Linked DNA regions of Lepisosteus oculatus. The main gene of each other region encodes a partner of the protein of the gene in region 3 in a complex. Links are inferred from orthologs where the notes say so. Each region holds a gene or a part of one and is shown on either strand. Other genes may lie near its edges.

What was found.
Region 1: rnf113a (region 3) and eftud2 share a complex: the UniProt entries of both Homo sapiens proteins name them as parts of the minor spliceosome. The link is inferred for Lepisosteus oculatus from reciprocal best matches to the Homo sapiens genes RNF113A and EFTUD2.
Region 2: rnf113a (region 3) and rbmx2 share a complex: the UniProt entries of both Homo sapiens proteins name them as parts of the minor spliceosome. The link is inferred for Lepisosteus oculatus from reciprocal best matches to the Homo sapiens genes RNF113A and RBMX2.

Annotation. Positions count from the first base shown.
Region 1 is NC_090723.1:536,398-540,149, reverse strand, and holds the start of eftud2 (116 kDa U5 small nuclear ribonucleoprotein component), read right to left. Parts: upstream 2,772-3,752; 5' UTR 2,649-2,771; intron 1,604-2,648; 5' UTR 1,593-1,603; coding exon 1,491-1,592; intron 1,321-1,490; coding exon 1,158-1,320; intron 489-1,157; coding exon 410-488; intron 74-409; coding exon 1-73. UniProt on the Homo sapiens protein: Required for pre-mRNA splicing as component of the spliceosome, including pre-catalytic, catalytic and post-catalytic spliceosomal complexes. Component of the U5 snRNP and the U4/U6-U5 tri-snRNP complex, a building block of the spliceosome.
Region 2 is NC_090703.1:47,213,529-47,217,280, forward strand, and holds the start of rbmx2 (RNA-binding motif protein, X-linked 2), read right to left. Parts: upstream 3,003-3,752; 5' UTR 2,531-3,002; coding exon 2,523-2,530; intron 1,213-2,522; coding exon 1,097-1,212; intron 471-1,096; coding exon 419-470; intron 249-418; coding exon 119-248; intron 1-118. UniProt on the Homo sapiens protein: Involved in pre-mRNA splicing as component of the activated spliceosome. As a component of the minor spliceosome, involved in the splicing of U12-type introns in pre-mRNAs.
Region 3 is NC_090723.1:1,932,307-1,936,058, forward strand, and holds the start of rnf113a (E3 ubiquitin-protein ligase RNF113A), read right to left. Parts: upstream 2,564-3,752; 5' UTR 2,541-2,563; coding exon 2,438-2,540; intron 1,824-2,437; coding exon 1,744-1,823; intron 838-1,743; coding exon 739-837; intron 316-738; coding exon 208-315; intron 1-207. UniProt on the Homo sapiens protein: Required for pre-mRNA splicing as component of the spliceosome. As a component of the minor spliceosome, involved in the splicing of U12-type introns in pre-mRNAs. E3 ubiquitin-protein ligase that catalyzes the transfer of ubiquitin onto target proteins.

The DNA.
Region 1 (3,752 bases), about 1.4 Mb from region 3:
GCCATGATGCAGGTGTCCGCAAAGTGTGACATTTCGGATCAGCTCTGGACTGTCCATCAGATCGGCTAGAAACCTGCAGAAAGGAAGATGAGGCTACTTAAAGGAACTGAAATGTTTAGCCTTCAACGGAGCTACAAGGGGAATTCAGACAGAGTGACTTAAAACTCTCACAAGCAATGACAATGTCAACCCAGAGGACTACTTTAGAAGTGAAACGAGGATTCAGGAACAAGTGAAAAATATGACACTTCGTTACACGAAGTGTGGTGGGAGTCTGGAATCAGCTGCCAGACTGTTGGAGCAGAGGCTAGACTTCCTCAGGGCGATAAGCATTCATGTTCAATCGACTGCCATTACACAAGACCAGAGCCTGTTGACCTGAATGAAACTGGTGTAATCTGAGACTCACTCCATGTCATATACAGTGGAGGGCAGTTCCTGCTCCATCAGCGTGAACTTCTTTGTCCTGACAGGTTTAATGATGGGCTCTAGGGGGAAGGAGAGAAGAGGAAATTCACAGTTCAAGTAACTTGTTCATCAATGCTTTCCTACACACACAAAGTACATCATCTTTATTACTCCATTTCCAGAAATGTTCAAAAAAGAAACTGCATAATTAAATGACAGACATTCTCATTTATGAGTGCTTAACAATAATAAAAAATGTTCAGAGGCAGAAAATCAAAACAGGAGACTAAATTACTAGACATAAAAGTGCTTTACATTAGCCAAATTAATCTAAGGTTATAACATACATCTCTGAATCTCAGACAGGTCGTTCAAGTCACAAAATTACGTTAACCTGGACCCCTCTGTGCACAAATTCACAGGTGTTCTTTCTCCCATTTCTGTAAGAGCTACATTCCAACTCACAGCAAAACCAGATGTAATTCACCTCACACTGCTCTTTCAAGCTGTAGTGCAGAAAAAGGAAATAAAAAACAATGTTGCCGTCTTAAAGCAGGGACTGAAATTATTTTGGTATGTCTGAAAACCTTACAACCTACAAGCGAAATCAGAAATGGTCGAATTTTGGATTCTTTAATAATATGAAGCGATTTCAACAGACGGCAATGGAAACCTGTCAGAAGGGAACGCTTGCTGAGCGAGAGAGGCCCCTGCGAACACAGAGCCGCAGCACCCCAGCCGGACCTGACCTGTGAGCGGCTGTGTGTCCTCCTCCTGGACGATGGTCTCCACCTCGGGCCCGTACACCTCCTCCGCCGTCGGGTAGTACTTCTTGTCCTCGTGCAGCACCACCTCCATCCCGGGGGTCTCCTCGTCGGGGTCGGCCGGCTCCTCGTCGTCGTCCTCGTCGGCCTGAGCGGGCAGACGGACAAGCTGAGCGCAGCGGAGAACCCACGCCGCCGGACACCAGGAAAAAACACAGGGGCGTCCCACGCACTGTGGCTCTGCTCAACCGCCCACACCCCTCCATCTCCTCCGGGCACAGAGCAGAGCAGGAGCAGCAGCAGCAACTAGCCTGTTACCTCCTCCGCATCTCGCTCGTCCCTGTCCAAGTCATCGTCATCATCGGAGTCCAGCTCTGGGCCGATGTAGTTCCCAAACTCGTCATACAGGTCGGTCTCCATGCTGGAACAATCTGTGGGAGGAAAAAATCAATCAAAAGCCCTAAGTGGGCTCAGAAACACACTGCCCTGGTTCTACTTCATAGCCAAATTCACGTGTGGAAAAGTCAACAAAAAACCAAGTCCATTTCTCTGCATTATATCTGCACTTGGAATATAGTTGTTTGCTTAATTCACAATATCATCGCATCAAATCTGATTTATAGCAATAATTACTATTCTTAATCCCAGAACTCTGAACTATTTTCAACGAAACCCCAACCTGCATGGGGTGTTTGAAATCACCCATAAAATTCACAAATGGAACCACTCTCTAAACCGCGGCAATTAAAGCGATGATTTTTTACTCGTTTATTTTTTCGCCAGTTTCCTACGGATTTGGGGTGTCTCAGAACACCAGGGCCGTCTGCAGTTGCTGTAAAGGTCTGGCCCGTGTATTATGATTCTGCTTTCTCTGGAATTTCAGTCACGTCTAACCAAACTGCGTCCCACAACGGTATGAAAGGTACGACAGAATGGGTCATTCCTGCTTTTCAGCTCCAGGTTTACTGAACTGCTGCAAATAAAGCTACAAGTATAAACAACCTTCATCCTAAACACGGACATTCCACCTTCTTTATTTTCTATTACCAGAGCATTTCTTGTCTGACTTCACACCAGAACTCAAGCTTGACTGTAGGGATAGTCAACTATTATCCTTTTATTTTTGCACTTTAACATATAGACCAAGAAAAAAAGTTAAATGTGCAAAAGAATTGAGCCCCCAGTTGAATGTCTGTAAAGCTGATCCTAAACAGGTTTGGTACTGGACGTGGCTAATTTGGGAACCAATTTTAAAAATCTGATGCTACTCGGGAACTATTTCAGTAACTCCATTTGCCTGGACGACGTGTGCATCATTAACAAACTTTAGATGAAAATGCGTTTATTATATGTTCATTCAAATGTCTGAAAACTATCAATCGATAATGATTTGCCGCTTTCCCTCAACATTTGTGTTAAACGCGAGACGTTGACTTGGTCTTACTACAGAATTATTTAAAATAACTGTAAACTCACCTTCGTATACACGTTGTTTAAGACAGTACTGCCTTTATTTTCGCCAATGTTTCTTCAATCCGGTGCGAGTTGCTCTCAATGCGTTTCACTTGCGCCCTCACCCGCTGCGACAAGCAGAGAGGAAGGACCCTGCGCGGAGTAAATTACGTAAGAAGATAATGGCGGCCACTGTACTGCCTGTTCAAAAATACTTTTATACAAGTTTACTGTTATTTAATTTGTCGATTTTTTCATATCCATGAAATTAAAAACATAAAATAATTCTATGTGGAACTTTATATGTCAGAATTCATCCAGTAATAAATACTGTAATTAGATAAAATAGGTGAACCTGTCAAGCAAAATATTAACGGGCAGAAAAAGATTGTAGTATTGCAAAAGAGTGTTAACTTATTAACATCTTATTATTGTAACACTACAGGGTTCACGTAGGCACCCTCACCGCTTCTGCCTCAGGTCGGTCCCCCACCATCAGGGACTCAAACCCGGGCCTCCGGCATCACTCAACAGGGACCCAGCCTGGTGAGCTAAAGAGAGATCTCCCCTCAGCCCAGCAGCTGCGGTCCCTGCTATCCACTGGGAAGGGCGGTGACGTCACCACTCTGGTAAGCCAACTCTCGCAAGCAATGGAGGCCGTATGCGTTACATTATATGAACTATATATGTTGGAGTTTATTAGCTTGTTAACAAAAAAAATACTTTGTTTGGTTGCAGGTTGTTCATGTTCTTTTGGATTTTGTCTACTCAGCCCCTTTAAGGATTAAATAGCGGCTCCCTGATTACTACTGAGAACACGATTAAATGGTCTAAGTGGCAGTTACATCATCACAAAGAAAAAGAGAAAATGCTTAACACCGTTTTCATGTTACTAATGAAAACTTCTAGGGCTTGACTTGGAACAGTGTGAGTAAAATTACAAAGAACAGAAGAGTTATTTTACAGAATTAAGAATTCGAAGAGGCGACGGTGCAGTGGTGAGCAATTCTCCCACTCTGCACTGCAGCCCTGGGTTTAAATTCCTGGGGAGCGATCTGCGTGGTGTTTGTATATTCACCCTTGGTCTGCGTGGGTGAAGAGGCCCGTCTGTGCTCTCCTGCAGTGCAT
Region 2 (3,752 bases), on a different chromosome or scaffold from region 3:
CTAGATCAGGGTTCAAAATTTGTCAGGCCTTCTGTATTTTATCCCCCAGGACACTGTCCAGAGGATGGCCGGGTCACCGGGCTGTGCAGAATTGGTCATTTGAACACCCTGCCTTTACCTTAATCCCATTGAAATTATCCACAGCTAGGATGGTGCTCCTCTGATCCTCATAGCAGATAAAGCAGAAGCCCTTCGACTTCCCAGTCTTATTATCCCGCACCAGATTGATATTGGCAATCTCCCCATACCTGCGAGAGAGAGAGAGAGAGAGAGAGAGAGAGAGAGAGAGAGAGAGAGAGAGAGAGAGAGAGACATGTCACTGGTGGAAAGGGATATGAACAGGGCATTAACACTGAGCACACGGGTTTGAAACCCGTGGTCTGAGGTGGTGAAAACACGTATAATATCAGACACTCACTGTGAGAAAACGCAGATGACGTCTCCTTCCGTTAGCTCATATGGAAAGCCACCTGCCAGAAACCACACACACAGGTCAAAACAGCCACCCACACATGGTTGACAGATAACAGCAAATCCAGTAGGAATCACTAACTTTGGAGGAATATGAAAACACAGATAAGTGAGTCACCCACTCTTGGACAAATAAACAGGGGCCTCCTGGGTTTTTTTCCAGAAGAAATCTTAATAACTTAACTGAATCAACTAATTGATCTGTTGGCCTACTTATACCTCACAACCAATTGTTTCCAGGTTCTTTTTGGATTTTTATCCATCACCTGTCACTCCTGCGGTGGAGTAGTACAGAGGGTAGCCTGTACATACAGGTTTTGGTACCCATTTGTGCAGCTTGGTTTGCTGGAACAATCTGGATAAACTGTCTTACTTAGGGGTACAGTAGCAGTGCCCCCATCTGGGATTCTTCCAGTCAGGAGTCCAGGGCCTCACTAAAGCTGTCCAGCAATAAGGATCCACAATAAAGGAGTGATACAACTTTAAAGCCATTGCCCTAAGCAGTGTGAGCATTTTATCTGCCCTTCCACCACTGCAAATGTAGTTCTTTCTCATCAGTCACCATATAATGCGAGTTTATAAACAGCGATCAATGCAGAGGAGAGAAAGGAAGGTCTGTCTTCACCTATAAATATCCAGGCGCTGTCCTTGTACTCCGAGTGCCAGGACACCGTCTCCTTCACTCCCAGCTCCGCCTCCCTCTGGTTCAGCTCATTGATCAGCTTCACCTTGGTTAGAGGACTGCGCAGAGACAGAGAAAAAGACTGACTCCCACTGCAATACACACACAGCAAGGCTGGGCAGCCCTTCACAATTCTGTCCTTATCTGCCAGCCTGCCATGAATGCATTCTTCTACAGAGGAGGGATTTCTAACCCTGCTTATGCAAAGCCCTACTTCAGGGGGACTGGGTCACCTGATATCACCATCAGTGTCCAATGACAGGCTTAGGACAGTTTAACTGGGATCCAATTAAGCAGATCCGAGTCAGTCAAAGATTTGATTTAGTTCAGGCCTACGTGTTCTGTGTTGTAGCAAGGAAAGGTTAACTAATTTCCATTTCCGTTACTGGGGAAAGTTCAATATGATTCGGATGAGACGTTAAACTGAGATCCTGATTCTCCATGGTCTTGTTTCTTGAAAAGAGTAAGGGTGTTACCCCAGTGTCCTGGCCAAGTTTCCCCCTGGCCTTTACCAATCATGGCCTCCTAATAATCCCCCTCTCTGAACTGGCATCAGCACTCCGCTCTCCTCCCCACTGAGAGCTGGTCTGTGGGGAGCGTACTGGTGCACTATGGCTATCGTCCCATCTTCCAGGTGGGGCTCAACACTGGTGGTGGAGGAGAGTCCCCCATTCATTACCTGTAGTGTTCTTTGAGTGGAGTGTCCAGAAAATTCTATATAAATGTAAGAAATTATAATAAATGATAATAAGCAGTGACTCATAGATTGTGTTATTAAGAGGGTGACGGTTCTGTAGAATTAGAGGTGATTTTCCATTTTTAAACTAGTGAAGTCCTACACAACTTGCTGTAAGCAATTCCACTTCTCACCACAAGGTGGCACCTAACTGCATTTACTGCGTTGCTTGTGTAAATTCAACAACGATTAAAGAGAAGCGAAAACACTCGGTTGAGTTTATACAAGATAAAAAAAGTAAAAACGCAAACAATGCAAAACAAATGCTAACTGAATTACCCCAATTTGGAACCTCAGAGTCGCTGCCAAAATCAAAACAAAACATAGAGCTAGATAGTAGCTAACCACAGGATGAAATATTTCTTAAAATCCAAAGTTTGTAAGCTGGAGAAAGCCGATAAGGACAGTATCACAGAATGAGGTCGGTGTTGCGGCTGTGAGTTTTGGTCACGTAATAAAAAGAAGCTTTTCTTTCAATACCGGTAGCTAAACTTGGTCGATAGCTTTGTCATTTTTAATTTACATAACATCACCCGTTCGCCACTATACAATTAAAAACAGCAAAAGGTTCATTTTAAATTGAAAGCAATAGTTTAGAAAAATAGGAAAAACTAATAGAAGGTCGATACTCACTTCATCATGAACGAATTCACTCCCACGATATCCAAATGACCCCTCTCTCTCCTGCTTCCGCTTCCGGGTTGTTACTGGATCATGTGACAAAAATATCTAGCTTGCGAGTGGAGAGTGTCCTTTGAGGGAACAGTCATTCTTATAATAAAAATGTATCTTAAATTGCATTTATTCATATAACAGGAACAAGGAAGATGGTCCATACCGAATATAAAAACATTTTTCACTCCAACGTCTGTTGAAATAGCAAAGTGGTATATTTTCGCGTGTCCTTTTGAAAACTCCCGAGATACTTAACGCTCTCTTAAAATACGATTGAGATCCACATGCTGTGTCTTCAGCTCATTCATATCCTCTGCATAATTCCTATTCGGAAAGTCTTGAAACAGTGTTTGGGTTTGAGTTACTTTCTACAATCAATGAGACACTGGTCATTATAGAAGAGCCGTTTGCAGAATCTGTATAATGCGTAGATACTAGAATTAATTAAAAAAAAATGAAAAATGCTAAAGCAAGGAAAACATTTGATTTATGTAAAAAATATTATTTGGTCACGTAAATAATTTTCTTCATTACCTGTGGCAAAACGTTGTTTTTTCTGTTTATGTGTTTTTTCTCTTTTATTTGTTTCTGCTCCTCTAGTTGTATTTGTAAATTCTTTATACATTTAATTTTAAAAGTGCGTAGATACGTATCTGTAAAATAAAAGCTGAAAACCTAGAGCGCAGCAACTGATGCACAAAATCAAAGACACCATTTGTCCAAATTTAGCCAATTTAACTAAAAACGTAGCAGTATGATACAAAAGAAAAGTATTCCCCGGGTTTAATTTTTTCTACTGTTCTCATCGTGTTTCCCGTCACTTTGGGTGATGAAATAAACAGTTTCACCTAAACGTGAGTTTATAAATGTTTATAAATAATTAAATCACTAGTTAAATCCACGCACGTGTCCTGTTGAGGGATGGTATGTGTTTCGTTAATGGGCAGGATCTGTCATGTCTGATCATTTCTCACGTCACATTAGCAGTAACATAAATAAAGTAATAACTAGGCATATCTGTCCGGTTTCAAAAACTTTGGCTACACTGAAACTGAATTTGTGTAATTGTTTCATTTCCGGTTTTACCTGGACAATAACCTAGTGCGCACATGGGAAAAATATAGATTGAACTTCCTTTTGGAGACTTGCTCGGTAAGAGTCGTGACGCACTGACTCTACGGCTGATTT
Region 3 (3,752 bases):
GAAAATTGCTCATTTTTAGTAGCATAAATATTATATTAATATGTACATTTGTTTGCATTTGATAGCCAGTTGAAACTGAAGTGAACAGAATAACAGGTAAGGACTAAATAGCTCTAAAAGATAGGCTGTACCAGGAGAGCCAATTTTCTGATTTTGTGAACCAAGAATAGAAATTTTCTCTTCTCCAATGACCACTGGGATGATTACCTCCTGGATTTTCTGGCTGCGCTCAAAGATGGACTGAGCATCCTTGTCTTTTTCCGTGTCTAGCTCGTAGATCGCTGTAGCACCCATGTCCTCTGGCCCTTCTGGTTTCTGCAACATTGGGGACAAAAACAGGAAGAGATCAAATGAGTCCCTAAAGACACTGGTTGAACCTCAGCCTTAAGGAAGAGTCGGTGCTAATCTGTGGAGCACTGATGTCACTGACAGCCTGCAGGTACCCAGCAGATCCATAGTGTCGCTGTTCTAGTACCTCCTCTTTAAGAATCCCAGTCATTGATGGATAATGACATTTCCAGCCTGGTTCTAAATATTCAAGCGAATCCCATGGTTTCAGTAACATAATCTCACCCCAAAGCACCAAAGGTTTACCTGTTGATGATCAATGGAATGAAAGATATCAAAACAAGGGTTATCTGGTCTTTGGTGGACATTTTAGTATAGTCAGGAAATTTACTACACATAGTCTTTAACAGAGGGGTATTCAGGTTTTTGTATATCTCGCAGATGACTCACAGCAGATTTGGTGGATTTGTAAGCTATCGTCATCTTCTGATCCTCCTTTTCACCTTCGCTGTCACTGGAGGCTACTTTCTCTTTCTCCGCCTTCTTGGTCTGAAAGAGCAAGAGGAAAAGGACAGCACTCAGAACAGATCTGAGAACACGCCAGAGCTCTCCGTGCAGGAGTCTGTGTGTTCGTGTCACAGCCGGCAGATCAAAGGTAAAGGATGAGCTTCCCACTCTGTATACCAGTAATATTTCAGAGCTATACCACTTCTTGTAAATGAGTGGACTTTCACGTGATTTACTGTATCAGCCTTAGTTAAAACTGGGGTAATTCAACCAAGCTACAGAACAGGACCACTGCTAAGGCCACTGCTGCACAACAGTTTGATACTTTTCAGGTTTTACCATTGCAGGCTCTACTGCCTGTACTGATAAAAAGAACAATATTAAATTCACACAGCTGTCTATGGAGGATAGGATATAAGTTTTTTTTTATTCACAATGAGGAAATTTAAAAAATGCAACTATGCATGTTTTTTTATACTGTTCCATTAAATAATACTTTAACATTTGCCACTTTTTATATGATTAAAAAAAAACATGTAACAATATGCTAAATGGACAGACATGATTTAAGCCAGATTTTTTCCTGGTGTGTGTACCAAAAGAGCATGCAAATTGAAATCAGCCTAAATCTCACTCTGAGATTTAATAAATCTTTGTCTTTGATAAATGATCCATATGGCATCAAATATTTTAAAATATAAAGTATGATTAACCAGCATGTGCAAACCTCTAATACCTGAAATGGAAACACCATACGGAGGGGAATTAGTCTATAAAACCGCTTTCTTTTTCCTTTAATTAAAATAAAAATGAATAGCATGAAACCTACAGAGTTCCTTTTTTCATTTTATCAGCAATGCTCATAGGCAGTGTGTCAGTGGTATCAAAGGCACAGGAAATAGTTCTACTGCATTTCCTAACATTCCCATTCCAAACCTGGAATCTTACCCCCTGGATCATGGGATTGGCAATAGTGGCCTTCTTCTCCCGTCGTATCACTGCATGTCCTCCTTCATCACTGCTGCTACCTGGGGCAGGACGGGGCAAATACAGAGGCATGACTGCATTTAAACAGGCAGCTTTAACAGAGATAACACAGACGTAACACATGACCAGGCACCATTATCGCAGGGCAGCCTGACAGACTAGCAGCAGGGTAGACTCACATAATGTGATAGATTAAGGTTATGGATACCATGTCCTGTATGATGTTAAACTGCCTGAGTCTACACTAGTATCATGTAACCAATAATCGTCCAACAGATTGTTAACTTTCTGATAGTTTATCTCCTTATGTATTATGAAAAACTGAAAAGTTTGTCACGTTCTCTAAACATTTTCTTGTCATTTCAATCTTCTTCGCTAAGCCGATACAGTGGAGTTTGAACGTAATGAGGAAATCATTCCCATTCTAAAAAAAATGTATATGCAACTGAGCCTTAAAACGTGCAAAGCTTTTACAGACTGTTGTAACTGGCTCCAATCTTCTCAGACTGACACTGGGCTGCAGCAGCTACAAACACGAGTATGTTTGCTACTACGTCGATGTGTTTCTTCACAAAGAGTGGACAAACACCATGCTCACAGGTGAACGAGAAGGACGTGTGACGATTAACCCACAGAAACAGAACAACGCAGTTACCTTTCTCGCTGTCGCTGGCTTTTCGCTTCCGAACAGAGACTTTTTTGTTCGTTTTTTTAAAGAAAAACGTACAGGTAGCTTTAGACTCCTCACTTTCAGCCATTTTTATTTCTCAGGCCTCTATCCCCCCTCGACTGTGCGCAGGTTCAGTAAATATAACAGCGACATCTAGTGACAGCCCATCAAAGCCCTCCCAAAGCTGCCCCGGGCAAGAGCAAGCGTTCTGATCCGTGGAGAACAGAGAGTAGAGGAACTCATTACACGTGTACGTGTGCACTGGACTTATTATTCGCGCTGATCTCTCGGGACATACACGATACAACAGACAACACCATACAATGTAAGACAGTATATTACAAGATAGTAAATAATACAACCAGAACTATAAATATGTACTAACGAAAGAAAAAACCGTGCATAGTGCAGGCGTGCATTGAGTTTGAGACATTGCAGTTAGGTGTTGAGGATGTGTACTGCAGGAGGGTAGAAGTTGTTCTTAGGTCTAGTGGGCTGAGCTTTAGCTGTACAGTACCGCTTGACAGAGCGCAGGGGGGAGGACAGCCTGTGGTCGGGATGGTTGGGATCCTGAATGATGGATTGGGCTTGATTGCGACAGCGGATGGTGTGAATCTCCCCGTATGATGGTAAATCACATCCTGTAATCCCCTGTGCTGTTGCCACAACCTTTTGTCATGAAAAAGTTACAAACCTCTCATCCTGCCCATCTGACCCCTTTGGTAGCATGTAGCTAATTGATCAGAGGATCTCATCCAGACAGCTCTTGAAAGAAGTCAGGGATTCAGCTCCAACAGTCAAGGCCGGTTATCTTTGTCTTAAAGAAGAGCGTCCTGTGGTCATATTTAAATGCACTTCAAGAAGGGTGAACGGATTTTATAGCCCAAAATTGTCTGGTATTTATTCAGGATAAAAGTTCCTTAAATGTAAAATTTACACTTTGGATTTAGACATTTTGTGTTTTGCAATTGCACTTAAAGGACATGCGAAGAGATAGCAGAAATGTTTTAAAAAACATGAAATGTTTATCCGTCCATCTGTCTGCTAACCGTTTACCAATACAAGCTTGCAGGGAAGCCAGAGTCCATCTCATTAAGTAATGGGTCCAAGGCAGGGGGTACACCCTTGACGGCACAACAGTCCATCTTAGAGCACACAGACTCAAACACACACACACACCAGGGACAATTTTCCCAGAAGCCAATTAACACACAAGTGTGTCTTTGGACAGTGGGAGAAAACCGGAGCACCCAGAGATCAGACCACGTAAACACAGGGAGAAGATACACACTCCACCCCA